Linked DNA regions of Drosophila melanogaster. The protein of the gene in region 1 interacts with the protein of each later gene in a pairwise test. Each region holds a gene or a part of one and is shown on either strand. Other genes may lie near its edges.

Region 1 (8,394 bases):
TAGGCCTGTGCAATCTTGAACTCAATTTTATTAATCTATTTTGTGTGCATCTCAATTAAAATGTATCTCCAGCATCTTTCATAATTCCCGCACGACTTGTCCGGGTGAAAGAGATGAATCATTGGGAGATTTCTTCGAAAAATAAGACAGTTTGCCGGGGAAGAAGCCGAAGCCCAAAGAACAACAATTGCAGCTGGGTGTTTGTGAACAAGCAGAGAAAGAAAAATTAAAACTTCAACGAAAAAATCTTTTTTACATCCCACATGGTAGATGGTAGATGGTACATGGTATTGGACTCCCTCCATTTCCCTGCACCTCTTGCATTTTTTCCACGTTCTACAGTGGTCTAAAAATAAAGTGCACGCACTGCATTGATGTGCGAGCATGTGAGTATAAAAGGATGCACTCCGCTTGTCTGTCAGCCAGGCGGACTTTCTTGTAGTTGCTGCTACTGGCAGCCAGTCAGTGCGTTTCAAAGTCAACTCTTTTTAGGCGTCGGCACAGCCTTTAGTGGAGTTCATTAAAATATTTATTTAAAGTCCCCCGCCCCCGCCCCTCACGCATGCCCATACCATACCATACAACCACAGGCAGTTGCTCTTTTATATGACTCGGCTCTTTGTTTACTTCACGGTATACAGCCTTTCTTTATGGCACACACTTGGTGGTATGTATAGGGTATAGGGGGGTACAGCATCAGAATAATATAGGAGCACATACATATGTATATGTTTGTATATGCAGAGGGACATGTGTGTGGCAAATTTTTGCCTGAGCCAGCCCTTCTTCGTCTGCATTTCTACTATTCAGCAAGTGAGCATATGATGTTCCTTATAGCCAGAATAGCCGGAATTGCTTAATTGCTATCTGCAACCGTTGTTCGATGCACTGCGCTCCTTAAATTTTGTTACATTTATAATGAAAGGTTTTCCTTTTAGCAATGCTATCAGCCGCAAAAACTGTTTCCCAAGCTACGTAATCCGTAGTTTAACGAATTATTTGCCAGTTTGCACCACACACCACGAAGCCAGCAATGGCAATAATATAATATAATAAGAGGAAACTTATGAACAACCGCAACACACCGCAGAAGAAAACTCAAAAGGGACAGTGTCTGTGTGGGGAAATCAATTAGTATTGTCACGGGTGGCTCGCAGATACCCCGATATCCACAGATACTCGCATAGTCGCATGTGAACAAGACCCCTGCTCAGTACGAAGTGGAAAATAATGTTCACATACACATACACACAAACCATTTAAGTGACAGCTGGACAAGACTTCGACTGAACGAACAAACAAGTGGCTCTAGGTATTGATTAGACCGACCCGAACCGCCGCACCCGCCATGCGAACCACTAGTGGCAACCACTTGATTGGAATTTACAACAAATTATGGCAATTTGTTGAACAAAGTACGATAAAAGCCGCCTAAAGGTGGCAAAATCATATGCATGGAGAAGAAATGGTAAAAGTTCTTCAAATCCTGGTTTTATTTTGAAAAAAGAAAATTATCTTGTATAGGAAAATTGAGTAGCACGCTATACAAACGATATTGAACACTCTCCTACAGAGGATTGCTACCATATTCTAAAGGAATCTTTCAAATAAATGCCATGTAAATGTTTATAGCACTACAAGAAGTAGCAAAGTAGTAAGAAAAAGTAAGAAGTAAGCAAAGTATTTCGTCGTTAACAAGCCTTCACGAAAGCAATAAAAAAAACTTTTGATTATTGATTATTTATTGCGAAGCACTGTTGGTGGTTTTGCCTGAGTCCACTGTACAGGGGATCAAGCACATTGACTGTGCTTAATTTATATTCAGCACATAACGGACGGGCCGTGACACCAGATACATTTCGATTTTCAGGCAGCTGAAAACGGAAATGGTAATGGTTTTATGCTTTGACCAAAACCAGAAAACCTGCTAACGAGTGTAAATCACTGGCGAGTAAACAAATTTCAATTAAATCGCCGAAAAACAAAGGAGAACAAGGGTGAACCGCGCATCAACGACCACCCTCATTTTGTTATATGTTCTCCGCTTTTGCTGGCTTACATGAAACAAAAAAAAAACACACTCAGAAAGCCAACAAAGCGAATTGAGATCGCAAATTAAATATTTATGTGGGCATAGGCTGGAAGTGGGCTTGCAACTTAATTTAGCCGGGCCAATGCGGCCATCAGCGGACTTTGTGTGTTGTATCTGTGTATCTCTGGGATTCAACGACAGATAGTCTCTCCAGAGTCCACTATTAACTCATTTTGTCTGCACGAATATCTCGTTCTCTTTTGGCCAACAAGCCAAGTCAAGTTGTTCTTGTCTCGGCCTATATTTATCCATTGCATCCGTGTAATGGCTTCGACATTGTCATAAGTGGAAAATATATTCCAACAGTTTACCCTACAAACTACGTACTGAATATGAAGAATATGCCTAGTTTTCTACACGGCAAACTTTTAGGCCGGGACTTTGATCCATCCTAAAAGAGCCCCAATGATGATGTCAGAAGGGCTGTTGACTAGCCAAAAACTCAACGACCAGCTTGCTAACAAACGGGTATTTTGACAGCTTCGGTTCCGCTCTCTTCAGTCAAGTGTGTTGTCGGCGTTGGCTTATCTGTGCCGCTAGCCCGCCCCAAGCGGTTCTCCCACACACACCGCGTTCTGCTGATAAGAAGCGGTGTAAACAGAGTGCTGCATATGTGTGGTGTACAGTGAAACCTCCTGTATGTCGAACTATACTATATTTTTACAGACAGACCTCGCATTCAACCAAAATATGAACAGAGGTCGTCTTACGCAAGAACAACTGTCTTTCACCCATGTACACCCATGGTGTATCTATTTCATTTCTGGCTATTGTTTTTGCAGTCTGGATAAAGATACTGAACCCGTTAGGGGTGCCCAGCTGTAACTGTGTTCCTTGTTCTGCCTTATCGCAAACCATTTATCGGAAGGTCTCTGATATCAGTTTCGGTCTTTTTGCGGAGTTTATTATTGAAGAGTTTCGTCACTATGCAAATAGAGATACGTCCCATGGCACAGAAAAATGCGCTGACCTCATGAGCCGATAAAAATGCAGGGTCCGCCGATGAGGCGGAAAATAACAAGAACTTGTCCACTGACAGACTTTCGAGTGAACGAAAGCGAAATCTATTGAAAAGTAAACATTCACACGCAGGACGATCGCAGCATAATGTGTCAGAGGGGGCGTGGGGAAGGGCGAGAAGTGGGTGGTGTTTCGATGGGGTGGAACGTCGAACAAATGCAATGACCTGAATATGGAGCGCTGTGTGCAGAGAAATGTGAAAAGGGCGATAAAAATGAGGCAGGATGCGGGTAAGATGAAAGGCGAAAGGCGAAAAAGCAAGGAAATTGTATTCAGCTTGAATATATTAATAGGTGGACAATGTGTACTTCGACTGGGAGCAAAATAAGCATTTCAGAGCCATTCTTCCTCTTTTCCCGTATAAAAAAAAAAAACGCTATCTTTACATCCAAATTGGATGTTATAGCATATCCTATCTTACAAGTGGCATCATAAGTTCTATCGAAATGTGATAAACCTAAAATCACATTCATATTCTTTACCGTTTTTATGACAAATGGCTTGTGGGCGAAAAATACATTATGAGTAAATCTCAATTTGCATGCTGCGTGAAAGGAGTATTGGCGACAGCTATGAGCTGGAAAATTCGTTTATTCGAATCCCTCATTCACAACACTCCCCCCACTTGACCCCTGGATGGATTCACACTCACTGCAATGACGTTTGGGCGAGTGCTGAAAGGTAAACATGTGTAGCCAAAACACGCAGCACGAAGCCCTCCGAAGGCAGGCAAAGTAACGGTACAAGGCGCGGCACCTGTTTACCGAGCGCAAGGGGAATGGGAAGGGGAGAGGAGCGCAAAACCCTGGCTCTCGGGCGTGAGCATGTATGCGTGAGCTGGGAGGCTGAGAGTGTCCTTGTGACTGGCCTGGCCTGGCCCAACAACAACAGCAATGGGGTGGGTGCTTGGGCAGGGGGTGTGGGAGGGAATCGGAGTCTGCACTTGCCTGCTCTATCGCGCGCTCGCTCTCGCTCTCGCGTTCGCTCGCCCAGCTCGGCAGCGTTGTATCTGTGTGTGTGCGCGGTTGAAGTCGTTGTGTGTGTGCTGGAATTTACGTGCTTATTGAATTTTCAGAGAGTTGCGCAAAAAACAAAAAAAAGCGGACGAGTTCGACGCTTTGAACTACAATTAATTTTAATTTGATTAAAAGCGCGACGCCAGGCTGGCTTCGCTCATTTATGGGTGTTGTTTTTCGCCGAGCTGCGCCCTTTACACGGATACACAGATACACACTCCCACACACACAGGCGCGCGTAAGCCGAGAATTTTCAGTGCGAAAAATATAGAACGCGAAACCCGTCGAACGTGGCAGGTATTCCCGGAAAATCAAGTGGATCGCGCACTCTGGCAGTTAATCGAATGCTTCGCTTGAATTTGCCCGCACATGCTGTCCCCTGACTTTTCTGGCAATTTTCACTGCATTTTCCGCTGCCCAGTACGTGCATCCGTTCGCGTTGACATCGGGGAAAAAACTCAGATACGATACTCTTTGGCGCTACCACGAGATAGCAGGGCTGCCGAAACATCGATTGCTGCATTATCGATTGTGCTTCGCAACATCATCGATTTGTTTCAGGCCAAAAACGTTATTATGTTATAATATATTTATAATAATTAATTAAGTATAAATTAAAGACTTAAATTAATTTTTAAATTGTAAACGTATTTTTCACAAATGTAAATGTACGATAGTACAAATTAGTTTAAATTATAGAGCATGGAGTGACCATCACTGATCGCGTTACCAACAATTTTTTTTAAATAAATTTGAGCTTGACATATTCGCGCTCTTGATCCTTATACAGTTAAAGCAAACAATTGATCAATTAAAAAATCATCATCTCAATTCTTTCGTAGTATTATTCATACAGACAATTATTTTATTACCAATTTTTCCCTTTTTAGTTTACACCTACGCCACTCAGTGTTATAATAAAATGTTTTGCAATTCAAGCACATATTTTATTGGTAAATATATATTTTCAGCAGTATAAACAGTGTCGGCCAGTGCCGGCCATTCATGAGATTTTAAACAAAAACTACTTACAAATGGGAAATTTGATGGCAAAAAAATCATCATATAATATAGGAAATCGTTAGTGCATTCACTTTTTGGCCTTGGCCTTAGACTTTGAAGCCGTGGAAGATGTAGCCTTTTTGGATCCACCAGACGCTTTTGACGTAGTTGTCCTCTTTTTGGCTTTGATCAAACTATCCAGCTCTAGGTTGTCCTTGTCCTCGTCTTCCTCTGATGATAAGTGGCCACCAGCTCCGTCCTCTTCGCCCGGACCCTCGTCCAAGTAATCGTCATCCGCTCCAGCAGCCTCTGATTTCTTCTTTTTGATGCCTGCTTGAGCGGAATAGGAGTATGCCATAACCTCCTTGTTGTAGGATCGCGTTAAAGCGGCTTTTACTCTCCCATCCACTGCGTCCAGTGGGGATTTCTTGCCGGGCCAGGATGTAAGCTCGACCAGCGAGTCCAGATCCTCACGGAGTAGATGGTAATCCTTCATAACGTCTAAAGCAGCGGGCACACCCTCCTGCCCATCCTTTGCAAGAGGTCGCACAATATTATCCAGAAGGAAGGGGGCGTAATCCAGCCTCACTGATAGCCTTGAGCCCGAGGTGCAGACCCTAGTATGATCATGCAGCTCCTGGGCCAGCCTGGCACGTTTTCCAGACTTGGAATTCTTGCCCAGCCACCCGGGAAAGTTAATCTGTCCAGTGAAGTGGCCACACATGTGCTCGCCAGGAAGGACCGAGCTGAAAAAGGCCTGAGTGGGTAGAAGACTCCAAGCAGAATTCGCACGAATACGCTTTTCAACAAGGTCACCCAAGCTTAGGGCATCTGCCGTAGCTGCCACCTTTGCCAGGACATCCTTTCTGCAAAGAGTGAAGTTGGTGAATGGGTACGCCCTTGGCTTAGGTAAACTAGACTTACTTGTTTCCCTGTGGTAGGACCTGCAGATAGTTTTGCTGCACAAAGAGCGGGGCCAGGCTGTAGTCGTGAAAGAAAAGGTCGCTCTTGTCGGCAAAAGACATGTGTTTGTGCTCGTCCGCGGTGAAGACTTTTCGCACCACCTCCCAGGGTCCCAGCTTCAGATCCTTGGTGGCAACCTGCTGCCCTGACTTTTGGGAAGCGTCTTCCTTGGCGCTCAGCAGGGCAATGTGGTTAATGGATTGCCGAATATCGTTGTTGGTAGCCGCTATGATTTCTTCCACTTTGGCCGGTGATATCTTTACTTTTTCCTTAAAGCAGATGCTCATTATTTTCCCTTTGATTTGCTCGAGGCGAGGCCTCTGAAATCGCAGATCGTAGCAATAGTTAACCAGGGATCGAATTTTTGGATGGTTGCGATCATTACACATGCAAATAATTGGAATAGAGCTATCCTTGATCAAGGCAATCAGCTCCTGCATTCCACCACGGTCCTCGTTACCGGCCATGCCATCAACTTCGTCCATTATGAGCACATGCTTGCGGGAGACCGCTTGGCCTTGCCCTGTAAAGTAACCGGAGAGGGATTTGTTGCTCAGCAGCGTGGACACTTCATCCTTGAGCAAGCGTTTGCTGCGTGTGTCGGAGGCGTTGAACTCCACCGCATCGAAGCCAAGCTCCTTCACTACCAGAGTCGCCGTCGTGGTCTTTCCTATTCCAGGGGGTCCCGAAAGTAGGGCCGCCTTGTAGAAGCTGCCGTCGTCGTTCTTGGCCCAAGGATTGGGCCGTTGGGGCTTCTTGTTTCCATCATGGTTAACATACCACTTGGACAACCAGTTCATCAGCCTAGGAAAATTAAAATAATGTAAAACTTTAACCCTCTCCTGTTTGGCTTTCAGTTTCAAATTGTGACTGTATAATAAATATATAACTTTGAAAGTGGAAGCTACCATTTATACATTTAGGTTACTCACTTGGTCACGTTGCTGGCGGCTCCTGCCTGGCCAACGATTTCTTTTATGCTCGTAGGCTTGTGCTTGTCCACCCAGGCCATCCCGACCACATCCAGAGTCTTCAGATCGGCAGTTCTTGGCGACGGAGGGTGTTCTTTCTGGGAGCTGGGCTCTTTTTTTACTTTCAAGGTAACAGCTGGTACATCATTAAGCTTATCCTTCGTCTCCTTCGGGGAAGTGTGTTCTTCCTTGACTTTATGTTTGGCGATATCATGCTTCTCGCCATATTTCAGTTTAGTGGCTTCCTTCTCCTTTTTATCACTGGACCTTCTAGAAGTCTTGACTTCCTTTTTCCCTTTCTCCTCGGAGCTGTGCTCCTTCTTCGGGCTTTTCTTCTCTTCCTTTACCTGCTTAGCGATTCCTGATTTCTCCCTGATTAGATCGAAGAGCCCGTCCTCGCTGAGAATGGGTATATTGAGTTCCTCAGCCACAGCTAATTTCTTTGGTCCAGCCTCTTCTCCTACGACCAGATACTTGAGTTTCTTTCCAACCACGGTCATCACCTTTCCGCCATACTCCTTGATCACGGACTCCGCCTCCTCTCGTTCCATGGACTCGAGGACTCCGGTTACGACAAAGGTTAAGCCACTCAGACAATCCGGGGATCCCTTTGGAATTTCTTTGCTGCCGGGGTTCAGGCACGAACTGCGGTTTTTGTACTTCTGGTAGAGCACGGCGGAAGCACGTTTACGCTCGTGGCGTTCCTCGTCTGTTAGGACACTGGATTCTAGATCTGCCGCAGGTTTCTCCTTCTTCACACGCGGAGTGGTGGCTTTGGATTTTGTTGACTTGGGTTTTGGCGGTTCCGGGCTGCTGTTCTTTGCTCTTTTAGGCGAGGGAGAGCTCCTGGTTATCGAGTGAACCTTTTTTTCGGGGGCAGCCTCTTTGATACTCTCGTCCAGATCAACTTCCATTAAACTCCGGTCAATGTCTTCGTTCTCGAACTCGAGAACAGCTTTGGTCTTCGGCTTGGGCACAATCACCCGTTTGGTTTCTCCACCGAAAAGCTCCGTAGGATCTACGTGCCGCTTAAGCTTGGAGAGCGCTGGTTTCTGCCCGTTCCTGGCCTTCTTCGCAATCGGTTCCGGTGTGGCGGCCACCACATCATCCTCGCTGGATGCTGTCTTCGAAGCCTTGCGTTTCTTGGTCTCCGGCGGACTGACCACCTCGTCCTCGTCGCTGGAAATTATCACGGCTTTCCTGCGTTTTGGCGCCTTCGACGGCGTCTCTCCATTTTCGGCCTCGGCACTTTTCGCCTTGGCCGGCAGCCGTTTGAAAAAGGAGTCAATGCCCTGGAACAAATGATTTTGTTAAATTGATGTTTTCACCT
Region 2 (5,416 bases), on another chromosome or scaffold:
TTTGATGAACCGGCACGTGGCACGTGATGCTACCGGTCGATCCTTGGGTCACGGTCACCGATGCCGCTTGGGATGCCGATACCGATGCGCACGGTACACGGATGCGGAAGCTGAGACGGGCACTTGTACCACGGAACACAGTAACCAAAGCCGTTGGATATCGAACCTAGGCGAGTAATTAATTGACAATCGCTTGGCCGTGGACTCCAGCGACCCGTAATTGGCGGAAGGCCGGCCATCCGCCATCCGCTATCCGCTATCCACTTTCCGTCGTCCGTTTGCCGTGCTCCGTACTGCCGAGCCGAGCCGAATCGGATGGGATTGAGTTCAAACCGCCGTTTTGGCCAGCCTGCCGCCCGAAAACAGTATGGCCACGTATTTTGAATGCAGCGCCGATGCCTGCGAGCTTTTCAGCTTTTGAGGGAAGCTTTCGTGGAGGCAGCTCCGTTGGAGGCCACCCCCTCCTCCGCTTTGTACGGCTCAAGTCACGTTGCACGTACCCCTTGGGCGCTTGAATAGCATCTCGTTCCACAACAGTCCCTAGTGCCCACTCCACTGCGTCCACCTGTTGCCGGTGGCCATAAGCCACTTGTTGTCGTCTGCCGCTTGCCTAGCTCCTTCTGAGGAGAGCCAATTAGGAGGACCCGCATTCCCCACTCGATATAATCCGATCGCACGTCCTCCCGATTAAAAGGCCGCAAAACCATTTACCGTAGTTAACCAAATCTATAAAATGCATATGTTTCGATTTGAAGATGACATAAGCGACATATAACCTTGCAAACTATTATTATTAGCAGCTAGGTAAGTGGAGCATGCAATGGGTTATTATACTTGTTTACGTATACAAATTGTTATGATAAATGGAATGTGAAATGGGGGGGGGGGGGGTGGGCTTTGAGTGCAGCTGCGCTATGTTTTCATAACGCGATAAGCGGTCAGGATTACACTCCTCCCCTAGCCCCATCCTCCTCCTCCACCTCTTGCAGTTGGTCCTGCTCCTCCGGCTGGGTATCAACGGTATCGTTGGTGTCCGCATTCAGGTCCACCCAGTTGTCATCGCTGATTTCGTCAATGGTATCCGTGTCATCCACTACGGCCGCCACGCTCACGTCATCCGTGGAGCCGGAATTAGTGGTGCCAGTGGTTGTGGTGGCCGTGACGGCGGACGAGGGTCTCAGTATCTCCTCCTGAGTGGCCGGAGTCGGGGTCGTCGACGTGGTGTACGATGCGGAGGAGGGTGTCTCCGAACGGTAGCCCATTCCCGTAATGTACGACCCGGACCCAGAACCCGAGCCCGATCCAGACCCTGATCCGGATCCCGATGCGGTTTCCGTGGCCGTTTCCGTGTTGGAACTGCAACTTGCCGTTGTTCCCGAAGTGGAGGCGTCGTCTCCGGGGAGGGCGTCCTGAGAAAGCCTAGGTCGCGGGGCGCCCTTTAACTTGTTCTTTTGGCGGGCAACCTCATAGTCCTTGAGATCGGACAGCTTGAGTGTGATTTTCTGCAGATCGCGCTTCAGCATCTCGAAGTCGAATTCCTGATTTTTGCTGATGATCCGAAAGACTGGTGGTCACGCGCCGATCGCAATTAGAACAGTGACTTTTGTATAACAGTCACTGGGCCAATAGCGGCTTTATACCTTCACTGGCCCCCATAGAGTGACCGAAAATCACTTTTACTGTCATACATATGCAATGTAATCGATTCTTTATTGTTGAGTAGGATTTAACTTTGTTTACATATGTACATATATCATATTTGTACTACATCCAACCCAAATTCAAAGACATGCGAGTAATGTATTCGCTATTTGCAGTACATTTATATTGCGGTGAATGATGGGGGAAAACCAGTACATATACATATACGAATGATGGTGCAGTGATGAGCATGGAGCGATCGAGAAAAAAAAAACAGTATGCATTACGATCTTGGGGATAGGTAGTGGTCCTAGTAGAAGCCGTAGTGGCCATGGTGGTACGGATAGTAGCCGTGGTGTCCGCCGTAGTAGGGCGCCGCATGGACGTATCCGTAGCCGCCGTAGTAGGGACTGCTCAGTCCACCGTAGCCGCCGTAGTGACCGTGTCCATAGGCACCGTATCCGCCGTATCCGCCGTAGCCGCCATAGCCGTGGCCGAACCCGTAGATGCCTCTCTTCTCCGTCTTCTTCTCATCCACGGCGGATGGCTCCGGCTCCAGAGCTTCAGGAGCAGGCTCCGAAACTGCTGCCCAGGTGCTCATGAAGCAAATGGCCAGGATGACGAACACGCACTGCACAGAGAAAAAAAGGTTCGGTATATGAAACATTTGAAACGATGTTAACAAATGATTTGTTTCAAATTGTAGCCAGAGCACTTCCAGCAATTTTAAATAACTTGTATTTTGTTGGATAAACTGTCACTCAAAAAAAAGTCCACTCGTTTGCTTGACCGGTGTCCTGGTATCCTGGTATCCTAATGTCCTGGTGTTGCTGCTTACCAAGAACTTCATGTTGCTGCTGCAGATGTTGCTAGTGGCTGTTGGCTGGTTGACTTGATGGGTAGGGCGCCAGGCGAGGTTTGTTGATGGCTGCCAGTGGCCCGACGCTTTTATAGTCACCCGGCTTGGCTTATTGTTGCCAGTTGCTGCTACAGTTGCAATTATGCAAACTGACAATAACGGCGGCAGCAGCAGCAGCAGCAGCGATTGTTGCAGCTGAATTGAATGCATGACGGGTTGAGGACTTGAAACCGAATATTGTTTATGCTGCGGAGCCAAAAGGTCATCCATCCGCTCATCCGGCGGAGGAGAACTTGGCGGAGGATTGCAGTGGGGGGAGTGAGGTGGAGTGGGCGTGGAAACTAACGATATCGGTTATAATTGCCAGCGTAGTCGAAATTCTAAGATCCCAGGCTCGTTGGGTAACCGAAGTGGGGCAGCAACGCGATCCACAAGCAACGTGCAACACGAGACACTCGACGCGTTCCACAATCACCAAGTGCCCCTCTCGTACACGGTATGCATATCGTGTAACACTTTCACTGCCAGATCGGATGGCCAGCAGCGCCCAAAAGGCGCACTATTACCTAAGCTCGTTCAGAAGCTGGCCAAATGCTGGGATGCCACTGGCCCCGTGGGAATCGCATATGCGCGCCAGCATTATACACAAATTACAAACAATTGCACGTTTGGCAGCGTTTTGGCATTTTAATTAAGCTGCCAGACAGCTGAGATCTCTGCCAGATCATTTCCAATGCAAAGTCTTATCGACAGAATATCCAAAGTGCACGACTTTGACGGAGACCTCTGGCTTAAGGGGTATATTGGGACAAGGATCGGTGACCAGGTCAATGGTCATTAGTTTTAATGGGCTTGAAACTAGGTTGAAGAGATCTTCTATTCAGAGGAGCACAGCTTTTGCTTAATATACTAAAGTTTTAAAACAATTTGATAGCCATTTGGGCAGACGACTCTGTTCTGCGCGTTCCATTATTCTCGATCACTTCCGTCTGCCGGGGGTACTTGCTACCCAGTACCCAGTGCCGTGCCCACACAATAAAGGACGACCTTGACCGCAGTGGCAATTGCAAATCGCAATTGCAGTCTGCTGCGGCTGTTGCTTTTGCTGCTCCGAGTTCCCAAGTCATGAATGAAGCAACGCCGGAGGCAACATTGTTGAATGAAGCATGCAAAAGATTTTCCCAATCGACGACGTCTCGCCATCTCTGGCCAAAAGTGGGTGGCACCGCCATTGTCTCCTTCTCCCCGCGGTTGTTTTCGTATCCACATCGTTTAATATTTATGCTCTGCCCATTGGAGGTGAATGCACGCGAGACGCGTTGGGCAAGCGGAAGACCAAGCAGCCAAGGGGTTTGGTCTATGGACTGGGACCTGGTCACGATCCGGAGATGACAACATATTTGATTGCCAGCTAAATTATAATTCTTGACTAAGTCTAGTCCGCCGAACGGGTCGATGTCCATGTCGCTGTCGATTGATTGATTTCCCATTGTAGCCGACCAGTTTGATTTACGGCCCAGACGGCTAATTGCGCATTGTTGGCTTGGTTCCAGGGTTAGATCTTGAATCTGGAATCTTACAATCCCACCGGGCCTGCCGACGGTCCTCCACTTTGGCCAGCTGTCCGAGGTTACACAACAACAACCGGCGTTGGCCGTTTTCAGCTGAAAATGCTTACATTTCCTTACAGTTTATTGCGCTTAACAGACATTTAACAATTAAAGGGGCGGAGGAGGGCGCGCCTAGTACTTCAGTTCCTTGGCCTTGTCGTGGGCTCCCTCGTCCAGGAGCTTCAGCTCCGCCTGCTGCTTCTCCGGTCGGATGACCGTGCAGTAGTGGTAGTAGCGCATTCCCAGGATGTAGGTGCCGTACAGGGTGACTCCAATGCAGGCATACACCGCGCCGCGGTGCAGCTTGTCCAGCAGCGTGTTGGTGTTAATCGGCTTCTTCTGCATGGCGGCAAATCCCTTCCAAGTCCATAAAAGTTTCCGGCAGTCGAGTCCGTCGCCTCAGCTGGTCTGTCAGTGATGACGGCGGCGAATGTATCGATAATTGGGCGTACATTTACTAGCCAAAATAAAGATGAAGACAGTCGAATGAGTACTATATTTTTAAGTGAATTTTAGGAAATCGTTCCAAATGTCCCATTTAGCTTTGAGTCTCACTCGTTTAACGTCGTTTTATCGTTAATCTCACTTTTAGCTACTCTAGCTGGAAAAGGCTTAACTTAAATCGCCGATTAATAATATCGCTGATCTCTGGCCAATCGATATACACCTATACGCACGTGTTTACAAATTTGTGTACTTCGTGGGAATATTTCATCGTATTCTACAACGCCATTGTGAAATAGCTGGACCGAATAGACCTCCGGAGGATTCATGGATCACGAATACGTTGGGGTTAGCCCGCTGGGCGCAGCGGACGGCAAGGGCGCCGGATCGAACGCCGTCATCCTGTGCTGCGAGTGCGGAGTGGCCATCCAGCCGAATCCGGCCAACATGTGCGTCACCTGCCTGCGCAACCATGTCGACATCACGGAGAACATCCCAAAGCAGGCCGTGCTCCACTTCTGTCGTAATTGCGAGCGCTATCTGCAACCGCCGAACGAGTGGATACAGGCCGCCTTGGAGTCCCGCGAACTCTTGGCCATTTGCCTTAAGAAGCTAAAAGGCCTGAAGGAAGTGAAGTTGGTGGATGCCGGCTTCATCTGGACAGAACAGCACTCCAAGCGCATAAAGGTGAAGCTGACTGTGCATGGGGAGATCATCGGGGGAACGATGCTCCAGCAGGTATTCGTGGTGGAGTTCACTGTGCAGAACCAGATGTGCAACGACTGCCATCGGACCGAGGCCAAGGACTTCTGGCGCTGCCTCGTGCAGGTTCGTCAGCGGGCCGAGAACAAGAAAACCTTTT

What was found. Proteins that work in one complex are often made in the same cells at the same time.
Region 2: the proteins of Cdep (region 1) and CG3457 interact in a two-hybrid assay, tested with the Drosophila melanogaster proteins (one large-scale study listed by BioGRID).

Annotation. Positions count from the first base shown.
Region 1 is NT_033777.3:4,906,751-4,915,144, reverse strand, and holds the start of Cdep (Chondrocyte-derived ezrin-like domain containing protein), read right to left. Parts: upstream 4,594-8,394; 5' UTR 4,060-4,593; intron 1-4,059. Other genes in the region: Gnf1 (germ line transcription factor 1), read right to left, coding at 5,219-5,996, 6,055-6,963, 7,026-8,356.
Region 2 is NC_004354.4:2,184,004-2,189,419, reverse strand, and holds CG3457 (uncharacterized protein), read right to left. Parts: upstream 1,601-5,416; 5' UTR 1,524-1,600; coding exon 945-1,523; 3' UTR 501-944; downstream 1-500. Other genes in the region: CG17777 (uncharacterized protein), read right to left, coding at 1,952-2,272, 2,480-2,491; CG17776 (uncharacterized protein), read right to left, coding at 4,243-4,455; Nmd3 (Nonsense-mediated mRNA 3), read left to right, coding at 4,882-5,416.